Macaca fascicularis: one gene and its partners. The protein of the gene in region 3 interacts with the protein of the main gene of each other region in a biochemical or structural test. Links are inferred from orthologs where the notes say so. Each region holds a gene or a part of one and is shown on either strand. Other genes may lie near its edges.

Evidence for each region.
Region 1: the proteins of DDIT3 (region 3) and FOS form a complex in vitro, tested with the Homo sapiens proteins (2 studies listed by BioGRID and IntAct, with this or other methods). The link is inferred for Macaca fascicularis from reciprocal best matches to the Homo sapiens genes DDIT3 and FOS.
Region 2: the proteins of DDIT3 (region 3) and ATF3 form a complex in vitro, tested with the Homo sapiens proteins (2 studies listed by BioGRID and IntAct, with this or other methods). The link is inferred for Macaca fascicularis from reciprocal best matches to the Homo sapiens genes DDIT3 and ATF3.

Annotation. Positions count from the first base shown.
Region 1 is NC_088381.1:143,230,318-143,234,522, reverse strand, and holds the start of FOS (protein c-Fos), read right to left. Parts: upstream 2,801-4,205; 5' UTR 2,646-2,800; coding exon 2,505-2,645; intron 1,751-2,504; coding exon 1,499-1,750; intron 1,064-1,498; coding exon 956-1,063; intron 839-955; coding exon 197-838; 3' UTR 1-196. UniProt on the Homo sapiens protein: Nuclear phosphoprotein which forms a tight but non-covalently linked complex with the JUN/AP-1 transcription factor. In the heterodimer, FOS and JUN/AP-1 basic regions each seems to interact with symmetrical DNA half sites.
Region 2 is NC_088375.1:70,370,055-70,374,074, forward strand, and holds the start of ATF3 (cyclic AMP-dependent transcription factor ATF-3), read left to right. Parts: upstream 1-1,220; 5' UTR 1,221-1,297; intron 1,298-4,020.
Region 3 is NC_088385.1:64,327,937-64,331,966, reverse strand, and holds the start of DDIT3 (DNA damage-inducible transcript 3 protein), read left to right. Parts: upstream 1-1,230; 5' UTR 1,231-1,345; intron 1,346-1,416; exon of another isoform or gene 1,417-1,451; coding exon of another isoform or gene 1,452-1,514; intron 1,515-4,030. Other genes in the region: DDIT3 upstream open reading frame protein, read left to right, coding at 1,452-1,514. UniProt on the Homo sapiens protein: Multifunctional transcription factor in endoplasmic reticulum (ER) stress response. Plays an essential role in the response to a wide variety of cell stresses and induces cell cycle arrest and apoptosis in response to ER stress.

The sequences.
Region 1 (4,205 bases), on a different chromosome or scaffold from region 3:
GAAGAGGTAAGGACTTGAGTCCACACATGGATGCTTTCAAGTCCTTGAGGCCCACAGCCTGGTGTGTTTCACGCACAGATAAGGTCCTCCCTAGGTCTACAGGAACCCTCTAGGGAAGACGTGTTTCTCCTCTCTGTAATGCACCAGCTCGGGCAGTGGCACTTGTGGGTGCCGGCTGCCTCCCTTCCCTGCCCGCTCACAGGGCCAGCAGCGTGGGTGAGCTGAGCGAGTCAGAGGAGGGCTCATTGCTGCTGCTGCCCTTGCGGTGGGCAGCTGCGCAGCTGGGGAAGGAGTCAGCCTCGGGGTAGGTGAAGACGAAGGAAGACGTGTAAGCAGTGCAGCTGGGAGTACAGGTGACCACCGGAGTGCACAGGGGCTCCAGCTCTGTGGCCATGGGCCCCATCCCCAGGGAGCCACTGTGCAGGGGCTCCCAGTCTGCTGCATAGAAGGACCCAGATAGGTCCATGTCTGGTACAGAGCGGGCTGTCTCAGAGCCGCTGGGCCTGGATGATGCTGGGAACAGGAAGTCATCAAAGGGCTCAGCCTTCAGCTCCATGCTGCTGATGCTCTTGACAGGCTCCACTGAGGGCTTGGGCTCTGGGTCATTGAGGAGAGGCAGGGTGAAGGCCTCCTCAGACTCTGGGGTGGCAGCCTCTGGCAGGCCCCCAGTCAGATCAAGGGAAGCCACAGACATCTCTTCTGGAAAGCCCAGGTCATCAGGGATCTTGCAGGCAGGTCGGTGAGCTGCCAGGATGAATTCTAGTTTTTCCTTCTCCTTCAGCAGGTTGGCAATCTCGGTCTGCAAAGCAGACTTCTCATCTTCTAGTTGGTCTGTCTCCTGTATACAGAGGGAGAAAGGAAAGCATAAGAAACAGTCTTACTCAAGGGCCCTTATGCTCAATCTCCAACTTTCCCCTTAAGTTTTAAAAAGGAGCAACCCGCAGAGTCTACCTACCGCTTGGAGTGTATCAGTCAGCTCCCTCCTCCGGTTGCGGCATTTGGCTGCAGCCATCTTATTCCTTTCCCTTCGGATTCTCCTTTTCTCTTCTTCTTCTGGAGATAACTAGGATAATCACAAAAAAAAAAAGACCGACATTCAGTAAAAGTGTCTGCCATCACCTCCATTCACCCACCCCAGTAGAACTGGCTCCTGCAGCTTCCCTACTTCCTGGCATCCCACTGTGAAACCATTTCTAACCTGCAGTTGCAGACTAGGTGTGACTTGCATTTAAAATAAGATCCTCAGCAAGAGAACAAAGAAGAGCCCAGTCTAAAAGCATGCGGTAGGAAACTTAGGGAAGAAACTATGAGAGTACTTCTTAGGGTGAGACTCAGAGTCTGAGTTGGGATGGAATGGGCTTGGAGCCAGGGTTCCCAGTTAGGGATGTGCAGCCAGCCCCGTCAGGGGCTTAATCCTCTCTGCTGTGCTCCTCCACCTCCAGGGCCGCTTCCCACCCAGCCCCCACCTTCCCAGGAAGGGTAGGCTAGAGTTCCTCACCTGTTCCACCTTACCCCTCCTGCCAGTGCTCTGCGCTCGGCTTCCTGTCATGGTCTTCACAATGCCAGCCCTGGAGTAAGCCCCAGCGGAGGGAGTGGGGACTCCGAAGGGGTGAGGGGCTCTGGTCTGCGATGGGGCCACAGAGGAGACGAGGGCCGGCTGCACAAGCCACTGCAGGTCCGGACTGGTCGAGATGGCAGTGACCGTGGGAATGAAGTTGGCACTGGAGACGGCCAGGTCCGTGCAGAAGTCCTAGAACAAAACAGAAGGGGAAAGCCGACGTGAGCGAGCAGATTCCGGACACAGGTGGGGCGAGTTGCCGGTGCCGCATGCAGTAGCGAAGAGAAACGATCCTGCCACGGACGTTTCATCTTAAATGTCCCTCATCCTGGATGAAAGGTCTCCCCCTTTTCCTCCCAGGCATTCCGCAGCGCAGTGTCTGTCTCTTCCATCCTGCCGCTGCGTTCCCGTTATCCCTTCAGCATCACTCGCTTGAAAGGGGGTTTGTTATAAATATCCCTGACGTCTGCGCTGACGCAGGCGCCGCTCCGGAGTCTCCAGAATGAACTCGCTTTTTATCAATGAAACTGCCTTACACACCCGCCCGCTGCACCCTCCTCCCTCACCCCTCCTCCCTGCTCCAGGCTGCCGGGGGAGGGGGGATTGCCGCTTTCTGCCACCTCCCCAGAGAAGCCAGGCTCTAGTTAGCGAGTCTGTGCTTGGGAGACGTCTGCCCCAGCTAATGTCAGAGATCCGTCCTGGAGTGCAAACCAGACGTTGCTCAGAACGAACCTGCCTCCGGAAGGGGGAACAAATTCTTACTATGGCAAGCTTGCGTGCGCTCAGAGCCAAGTCCCGAGCCCCCGAGCCGGCACCGCTCCGGCCACTGCAGCCTCCCTCCAGGCACAAGGGAGCCCCCTACTCATCTCCTGGAGCGTCCCGCCCGGTGTCTCCTCCTCAGCGACCCCAAGCCCCCGGCCCCGCGGCGGTGGGAAGCCAGCCTTACCTGCGCGTTGACAGGCGAGCCCATGCTGGAGAAGGAATCGGCGGGTGAGTGGTAGTAGGAGAGGCTATCCCCGGCCGGGGACGCGCTGCTGCAGCGCGAGGATGACGCCTCGTAGTCTGCGTTGAAGCCCGAGAACATCATCGTGGCTGTTAGGCAAAGCCGGGCGTGGGGCCGAGGGGCGGAGACAGGTGGGCGCTGTGGAGCAGAGCTAGGTAAGAGCGCGGTCACTGCTCGTTCGCTGCGCCGCGGCCGCCGGCTCAGTCTCGGCTTCTCGGCTGCTCGCTGCAGATGCGGTTGGAGTACGAGGCGCCGCAGCCACTGCTTTTATAACAAGCGTTTTATGAATGAGTGTAAACGTCACGGGCTCAACCACGGTGGCGCCAGAGGGGTGGCGCGCGGGCCTGAGCGCCTCTGCCGCCGCGTGGCTGCCTCCCCAGCGCTCGCAGCTCCCTGCCTGTGCCTTGGCGCGTGTCCTAATCTCGTGAGCATTTCGCAGTTCCTGTCTCAGGGGTCTCGTGGGACCCCCAAGATGAGGGGCTTCGGGGATGGCTCCCCCCAGGGCTACAGGGAAAGGCCGTGGAAACCTGCTGACGCAGATGTCCTAATATGGACATCCTGTGTAAGGGGGAGGGATTGACGGGAACTGCTCGCGGGCTGCAGCCAACAACGAGGGTGCAGCGCGGGGGGAGGCGGGGGCCGCGGCCGGGGGAGGGGAGGCGGGAACGGCGCAGAATGCTAGAGAACATTCGCACCTGGTTCAATGCGGACCCTTGTTCCCGAGGTCGGGGGGGATGGGGCAGAGAGCGCCTCTTTACCCTTGTACGGAAACTGAAGACAGTTCTGAGGCTCAGGAATAGGAGAAACGGCCTCGGGTACACGGCCCCGAGGACTTAAGCCTCGGCTCCCGAAGGAATGCGTCCCTACCCCCATCCCCAATTCTAGCCCTAATTCAGTGCAAAACGAGGAAGCAGACCCTCACCCCTCTCCTCCCGGGCTCGAGCAATGCTAGCACTGTTCCTGCGTTTGGAAGCAGAAAGTGGATCCAAAATAACAGAATACGATAACCTACTTTACGATACTGGGTACTTTATTTATTTACTTATTTTTTCTTTAAGGAAGACAGCGCATTTATTTATTTATTTTTCTCGGCCATGTGTGGGAATATTAAGGAAACTGTCAAATCCCTGAGACACCAGCAGATAAACACTGTGCGACACCTACGTGCGAAGACATTTGAAGGGGGTGTCTGCCCGGTTCTGAGCTGGGCCCCGGGGGTAGGGAGTGCGGGGTGTGGTTATGTGGGCAGGGTGGTCAGTTCGGGATGACAAGGCGGGGTGTGCTTCCTGCGGGGAACTAAAATCTGAGCTGGGGGGCTGGTTCGGTCCCGCCAGGAAGCTGTGCTTACGGGAGCCCGCAGCGGGTGATTTTCCAGCGCGGACTTGGAGAGGGGAGGACAGGGGCTGGAAGGACAGTGTCCAGCAGCGCCCAGGCGGAATACCTCCACCGCTGGGACCCCAGGCGCGGCTCCACGTCCTGGAACACCGGGCTTTGGGGAGGCAAGGTGCTCCAGAGTGTGCCACGCCCCCCAGCCTCCTGCCCTGCTGCGTAGGACAGCCGGGGTCACGCTGCCCGGGCTCAGCCCCAGCGCGCCGGCCACCTCCAGGGTGCGAAGACGCATGTCCCCGCACAGCCCCGGTCTCC
Region 2 (4,020 bases), on a different chromosome or scaffold from region 3:
GTGTGGTAGGCTACACTACCTAGGTTTGTGTAAGTACACTCTATGATGTTGGCACAACAATGAAATCACCTAACGATACATTTCTGAGAACATATTCTTGTTGTTAAGTGATGAATGACTGTATATGACATTCTGGAAAAGGCAAAACTATGGAAACTAAAAAGATCAGTGGTTACCAGGGGTTGAGGAGTGGGGATGATGAACAGGTGGAGCACAGAGGGTTTTTGGGGCAGTGAAACTATTCTGTAGGATACAATAATGGTAGATTCTTGTGTTTAAAAATCTGCCCTAACCCATAGAATGTACAACACCAAGAGTGAACCCCAGCGTAAACTATGGATTTCATGTATGAATAATTTGTTAATTAGGTTAATTGATTGTGACAAACGTACCAGCTGGTGGGGGATATTGATAAAGGAAGTGGCTATACAAGTGTGGGAAGAGGAAGTCTGTGGGAAATTGAGTACTTTCCGCTTAATTTTGCTGTCAATCTAAAACTGTTCTACACAATAAAGTTGATGTTTAAGAAAGCCAAGTGAGGTGCTAACACCTTTCTGTAGAGTTCATTCCACTGTAGCGTTACACAGATTTGGGCTGGAATCTGAGCCAAGCCCTGTAACCTGGGGGAAGTTACTTACCCCTCTAATCTTAGTTTCTCTAACTTTACAGAGATTGTAATGCCTTCCTCAGAGTGTTTTGAGAGCTAAATGCAAAACTGTATGTAAAGAATCTAATCCAGCACCTGGATATATAGCATGGTAAATATATACAGGCCTCCTCATTCCTCCCTATGACTGTGATTCTTATCTATTCTGATGGCTACTATTTTCAAAGTCAGGCCAGGGCAAGAAAGCTGTTTTGGGTGAAAGTGTCTTCTACTAGAAAATAATCTGTGCATGAGGGGCCTGTGTGTCCTCATTTGCTCATGTGTGTCCCCAGAGGTGCTGGCTACAGAAGGCCAGACATGCACTGGAGCCCCGGATCAGTGTCAAGCCCCTCACTCAGCTTTCTCCCGTGAAAAGGTCAGGATGATGGAAGGCTGTCATATTTAGATGATGGCTCGCAGGGAAGCCTTGGTGGGTTAGTCACCTATGATATGACATCATATTGCCACTCAATATAGTAACAGCTGTTGGTTGCTTTGGGGGGCAGAGGTGGGGTTAGCTTTAGTTGACCAACCATGCCTTGAGGATAAATTGGATGGGATCAGATGGGAAGATGTGACAAGAAGAGAAATCCTCCTCTATATAGGATGCTCTGCCATTTCCTAAGGATTTTCAGCACCTCGCCCCAAAATGTGAGTCTTGACTTTTTCTCTGGCTTTGGGGCTAAGTGGGAAAAATGTTACAGGAGAAAGGTGTTTGGTCAGGAAGCCTCCAGCTGGGGGAGTACCCATTGTGGCCCTGCTGGGTGGGTGACACCCGGAAGAGGGGTGGGAAAGTGAGCAGTTCGGTGCATATGGCACTCAGTGAAGTGATCTGAGGGATAGGGATCAAAAAGTCCAGGAGTTAGAGTGCTGCAGAAGCTCTAGGTTGGATTAAGGTTTTTACTGACCCCTCTTCAGGTTACATAACACCTGCGGGATGACCTGTGGCATCCCAGTGAGGCAGTGATGTGGTCTCGGTCTCATCCTGGATGAAACCGTGATTTGGGGATACCATTAGTCAGTGCTGTAGTCGATGTAAGGCATTGATTATTCATAATAGGAAGCAATTGGAGTTGGTTAACACCTTCCTTCTAGTGTGTTCTCCTTCTTGACTTTCCTACCTCTTCTGGGGCCCTTGTGTTTTGGGAATAGAATGCTTTGTATCAGCAGTGTAACATGGATAGGTTAACTGGATATAGGCTGGGTATGGGGAGAGCTGGTTCTTCCTGTGCTTAAACGGAATAAGTCCAGAGTGAGGGAGTAAAGATGTTAGAGAGGAAAAGCCCTGGAATGAGGGTCAAGAGATCTTGTTTGGCAGCTAGTTCTGCCAAGTAAAAGCTGTGTGACCTTGGGCAAGTCACTGTTTCTCTTTGGATTTTGGTTATTCCTCTCATCTGTAAAAACGTGTGCACTTGGGGTTCTTCCAGCCCCACTGGTCCTCTTCCATCCTTTAAATGTGGATCTGTGGTTCTGTTGTTGGCAGCCCAGAAAGGGCACAAGTTTGAGTATCTGGCTCTGCCATTTGTTGTGCGACCGTGGACAAAGACACCCCTTCTCTGAAACTCAATTTTCCCATTTATAAAATATGGATTTTTGTGAGACATCAGTGAGGTAAGGAAGCTGAGAGCCTTTTCGGAGGCACGATGTGGATGTAAAGCAACACCCTGAGTTTGGACAGGGCAGGTGGAGTAAGGCAGGCTGAGGGGTGATGTTTGGGGTTACTGGCAGGTTGAACTGTGACCAGGGGCATAGATGGGGTGGAGGTCATGGTCAGCCAGGCCATAGAAACCCCTAGCCCTGTCCTACTCAGTTCTTGTTCCTTCCCCAGCAGCCGAGGGAGGGAAAATAGTTGAGAGGTTATAAATGACGCTGAAAACAGCTCACAGAAGTGGCTGCAAACTGTCTGAGGGGGTCATGCCGCCGGAGCAAAGCGTGTGCTGGGAAGCCATCCAGGGTTTGGGGACCCCTGAAAACTGAGCAACCTCCTGGTTCCTATTGGTGCCCAAGAGGATGCACCGTCTGCACTGCCTGGCATCACTTCCTGGGAAAGTGAAAACTCCTCGTATGGCGACTAATGGATCACGACTGAACAGTGACCAGAGTGACTTGTCTTGAACCGTCTCTGAGGGAAAGTCACAGATTCCCTAGAGAAAATTTCCAAATTCCTGTTTATTCTTCACATAAACAGATTAACCTAGGGGTAGCGATTTTACTTAACTCTTCCTTTCATGTTGCAGGGAAAGTGAAATTGGCCACTTCTTTGAAGCTGTTCTTTGAGCCATAAATATAATTTCTCTTCCCACCCACAGAAAGGGGTTTTCTTTTTCTTTCTTTCCTTCTTTTCTCTTTCTTTCTTTCTTTTTTTTTTTTTTTTGAAGCCCCAGGCTCTGATACGTTCGGAGGTTGGCAGGAGGTGCAGCTGCCGTAGGAGCAGCATGTTGTCCCCCTGCTGACTCATCTGACATTAACATAATTATGTTTCAGGAGTCAAAGTGATTTTCAAACTATGAGTAATGCAGGGTGTTAGAGAGAGTGTTTACACGGCAGTGGGCATTTCAGCACACTCAAGTAACCAGCTGCTGCTAACAGCTGCAATGAGTGAAGGAATAAGAAAATGCTCTCAGGAAAAACAACCCTTCTGTCTCGTGTCTGTTTCTGTGCAAAGGATTCAGATGTCATGAAAGGCAGGTGAACTTAGAGTTCCCTAAGAACCAATTCAGATCTAGCATTGTTATCTGAATGCCTTGATGTCTGATCTTTTTATGGGGAAAAAAATGTCTTTATAGCTTATTTTCCATTTACCCAACTCTAGGGAAAGGTGGATTTAAAGACTTTAGCAAATTATTTATTTTTTATGATGTTACCAGTATTAATAATTATAATAATATTCTAAGGCTGTGCTGCTGCTTCTAAAACAGGAACAAGGACAAAACCCATTTCCCCCAGTTTTAAAGACAGGGGCAGAAGCCCATGGAGAGGGGGACTGGGGAATGTCTTCTTAAAGCTCCTTTGTCTCATTATTATGGGAAAAGTTCTGAGAGACATGGAGTGCAGTGTGCCAAGTATTTAGACCTCAGGAGCGAAAAGCTGGGCTCCAGTCCTGTTCCAGAACTGAATATTGGAATGGGAATGCCTCAATTTCCTCATCTCATAGTGAGAATATTAATAACACTTTCTCTGCCTACATCAGAAAAAGAGCCTTGAACTTTTGTAGGGTAGGGACAGGGTCTGCCCACTACTGTAGCCCCAGTGTCTAACTTAGAGCTGTCACATAGAAGGTGCTCAGTAAGTATTTGCAGAATTAACGAATGAGATAAAAGCTATAAATGCCAGAGCTCTGCTCTTGTGGTTTGCTATTGCATCTAGCAAGGTGT
Region 3 (4,030 bases):
TTACAAACAAGGACGGTAAGATCCCTTGGTAAGTGAGGGGGAGTTGAGGCTAAAATCGCGGCCCCGGTCTCCCCAGTCCACGGCGGTCCTGCGCTGAAGTGCACTTACACGTCCCAGGATGAGACTCCGCTGTAAATCTCGACCCGAACACCTAGGAGGCAGGCCTGTGCCGCGCTCCTCACAGCAGGGAGTCACAGGACTTGCTGTCTGGTACAGCAAGAGAGGGTCTTGGTATTGGAGAAAGCCGTAAGAGTATAGTGGGGGAAAATAGGTGGCCAAACAGAATTGGGTCCACTGGGTAAAATACATGACTTCTGGCAGGCTGAGGGCTTAGCAACTCCAAGGTAAAAGTCAAGGGCGCTGTTGTGAGAGAAGCGGAAAATGACTACCAAGGGATTCCAGTACCTCGGCCCCTTTTGGGAGATTTACGGGGCTAGACGACCCCGGTTTTTTTTATTTGTTTTTCGTTTTCGGTGAAACGTAGTCTCGCTCTGTCACCCAGGCTGGAGTGCAGTGGCGCGATCTCGGTCACTGCAACATACGCCACCAGGGTTCAAGCGATTCTCCTGCCTCAGCCTCCAGAGTAGCTGGGATTACAGGCGCGCATCACCACACCCGGCTAATTTTTGTATTTTTAGTAGAGACGGGGTTTCACCATGTTGGTCAGGCTGATCTGGAACTCCTGACCTGAAGTGATCCGCTCTCCTCAGCCTCCCAAAGTGCTGGGATTATAGGCATGAGTCACCGAGCCCGGAGACCTCTCTAAGACTCTCGAGATGTCGACAATCCCAGTGGATGGATACCAACTTTCAAAGGAAAAGTTCAAAAGGCCTATATGACCATTAGCTGGGAGGGGCCAAGGAAAATGGGAGTCCCTTATAGTGGAGGTAAAACGCCGGCTAAAGCTCGGTGGGCGGAACAGCAGCTTCTGGGGGAGACAAGCGGCAAAGAGGCTCCACACGACCGACTACGGACGGCCAACGCTGATAGCCGTTGGGGCCGTTGGGCGCCGGGAGCTGGCGCCCCGCCCTCTCTCCTTTCCCCCACCCTCTGCACCTCCCACCACCCTCGTAGTCCCCTGCGCGTGCGCGTGCAGACACCAGTTGCCAAACATTGCATCATCCCCGCCCCCCTTTCCTCCCCTCCCCCCGCTACACTCCCCTCCGCGCGCGCGCATGACTCACCCACCGCCTCCGTGAAGCCTCGTGACCCAAAGCCACTTCCGGGTCCGACACTACGTCGACCCCCTAGCGAGAGGGAGCGACGGGGGCGGTTCTGCGGAGCTCCTGAGTGGCGGATACGAGGGACGAGGCGGGGCCAATGCCGGCGTGCCACTTTCTGATTGGTAGGTTTTGGGGTCCCGCCCCTGAGAGGAGGGCAAGGCCATGGTAAAAGATTACAGCTAGGCGCTCCCGAGGTCAGAGGCTTAAGTCTAAGGCACTGAGCGTATCATGTTGAAGATGAGCGGGTGGCAGCGACAGAGCCAAAATCAGAGCTGGAACCTGAGGAGAGAGGCGAGTACTGACTCCCATCTGCCCTTTGCCCTCCCGTCTCCTCAGAGTTGGGGCATCCGCTCTTTAGGATTGGCCTCACGCCTCCACAGTGAAGTCAGGGACCGTCCGAGAGAGGAATGGGGAGAGTCCCTTATTCTGGGGTGGTGCTTACAAACCCCCATTGCTTCGGACGACAGCGTCTCTCCACCCCTGCCCGGAGCCGGAGCATGGGCCCTGCTCTGTGCTGCTGGGCAAAGGGACCTCGGCTGCCCTAGGGAAATTCATTCTCTCCCGTAGCCAACTTCAGGCCACCTCGTTAGGCCTGTCCGCGGGGAGGCAGCAGGACACACCCCCGCTCTAAGACTGAGTTACCATCGCTCAAACCGTTTCCGCCCGTTCGCCACCATCGGCCTTCTCCCTACCCTACCCCCAATCCTGTCTCAGTCTCAGCGTCTCTGGTGTCAGCATGGCCACCTCGGTAGCTGGGGCTACTGGACCCTGCAGGGCTGAAAGGGGAACCTTGACACAAGCCTTTGGGAGGGGTGCCGATGGACAGGGAGCGGTGTGTTTTCCCTTTGCCGTAGAGGTCTCTGGGCCTCCCGCACAAGAGAGCAGCCTGGATCTCTTAAGTGTAGGAGGCCATTTGGGGTCTCCCCAGGGTATCGTCCTTCCCTCGGGATTAGTCCCTGCCTCTTTAACCCGGTCCTGTCTCCCAGCTAATCTCTGTGTAACCATTGCATCAGGCCAGCCCCGTTTGGCTCTGCAGCCTTCTGACCTGAGGCTCCACTGCTGATGAAAGCCAAGTCCCACGCACTGGAAGGCAAGGGAGGGTTCCCCAGGGAAGACAGCCCTGCAGAGAAATATTTCGGGCAATATTGCATCTCCAGTCCCTAGGGATCGGCAGCTGCCACTCTGCGTCTGCCCCTTCCCTATAAGAGAGATTGGGGAGAATTCATTCATTCTTAACAAATACTTAATGAGGACCTACTGTGTGCCAAACAGTTTGGGGCTCAGGGAACATCCGTGAGCAAGAGGAAAAAATCATCTCAGTGGGAGGCCTACAGTAAACAAAATATAAGTGCCATGGAGAAAGCTAAAGCAGAGAAAGGAATGGAGAATGTTCAGGATGGAGGTTACTGTGTTACATCAGGTGGTCAGGAATTACCTTAGGTAATTCCTCCTCTCAAAACCCTCCAATGACTTCCCTGACATGACATAGGAAGTCACTGGAGAGTTTTGAGCAGAGGAATGACCTGTTTTAAAAGGTTCACTCAGGCTGCTGTATGGTGAATAGACTTACGGAGGGGTGGCAAGAGAAGAAATGGGAAGACCTTCTGCAATCAGGAAGTTTCTGCAGTAATTGAGAGATGGTGGTGAATTGATCTAGATTGGAAAGAATGGAATTAGAGGTGTTTAAATTCTTCTAAGCAAAGTTTTAAAAACTCATTTTTAAAGAATGAGTTAAGGGCCGGGCATGGTGGCTCATGCCTGTAATCCCAGCACTTTAGGAGACCAGAGGAGTGGATCACACGAAGTCAGGAGTTCAAGACCAGCCTGGCCAACGTGAAACCCCATCTTTACTAAAAATACAAAAATCAGCCAGGCATGGTAGTGCATGCCTGTAATCCCAGCTACTCAGGAGGCTGAGGCAGGAGAATCGCTTGAACCCAGGAGGCAAAGGTTGCAGAGCGGAGATTGTGCCACTGCCCTCTAGCCTGGGCAAAAAGAGGGAGACCCGTCTCAAAAAAAAAAAAAAAAAAAGTTAAAATTTGCTAGTACTTTGGATTGCAGGGTGTGAGAGGAATGAAGGATGATACCAAGGTTTTTAGCTTAAGCAACTAGAGTTGTCATCTGAGATGGGGATGACCTTGGAAGGGGAAAATCAACAAGTTTGCACATAGTCTTAGGTACCTATTAGACATTGAAAAAGAAATGGCAAGTAGGCAGTAGACAGCAGAGTCGGAAGTTCTGGAAGAGGTCCAGACTGGAAATACACATTTGGAGGATGTCAGTGTGGGAATGGAGTTAGGAAAATGCTACAGGATGTCAGTGTGGGAATGGAGTTAGGAAAATGCTACGATTTGTTCCCTTCCCTATAGTTTAGTCTTTACCCTGGCAGGTTTAAGGCCTGCCTTGAATTTAGAGAAAGCTGAGTTGGCCAGAACTTTGCTATTATGTAACCAGGACTACAAATGTCAGCAACTAAAAATAAAGTCAGGCCCTCTTCTGCCCTTGGAAATGGCTACAGGGACCAAGTATGCATACCCCACAAGACCAGAAGTAAGGACGGACCAGTAGGAGGCTGGAGATAAAAGAAAAATAAGGGCCCAGCATGGTGGTTCACGCCTATAATCCCAGCACTTTGGGAGGCGAGTAGATCACAAGGTCAAGAGATGGAGACCATCCTGGCCAACACAGTGAAACCCCATCTCTACTAAAAACACAAAAATTAGCTGGGCACGGTGGTATGCACCTGTAGTCCCAGCTACTTGGGAGGTTGAGGCAGAAGAATCGCTTGACCCTGGAGGCAGAGGTTG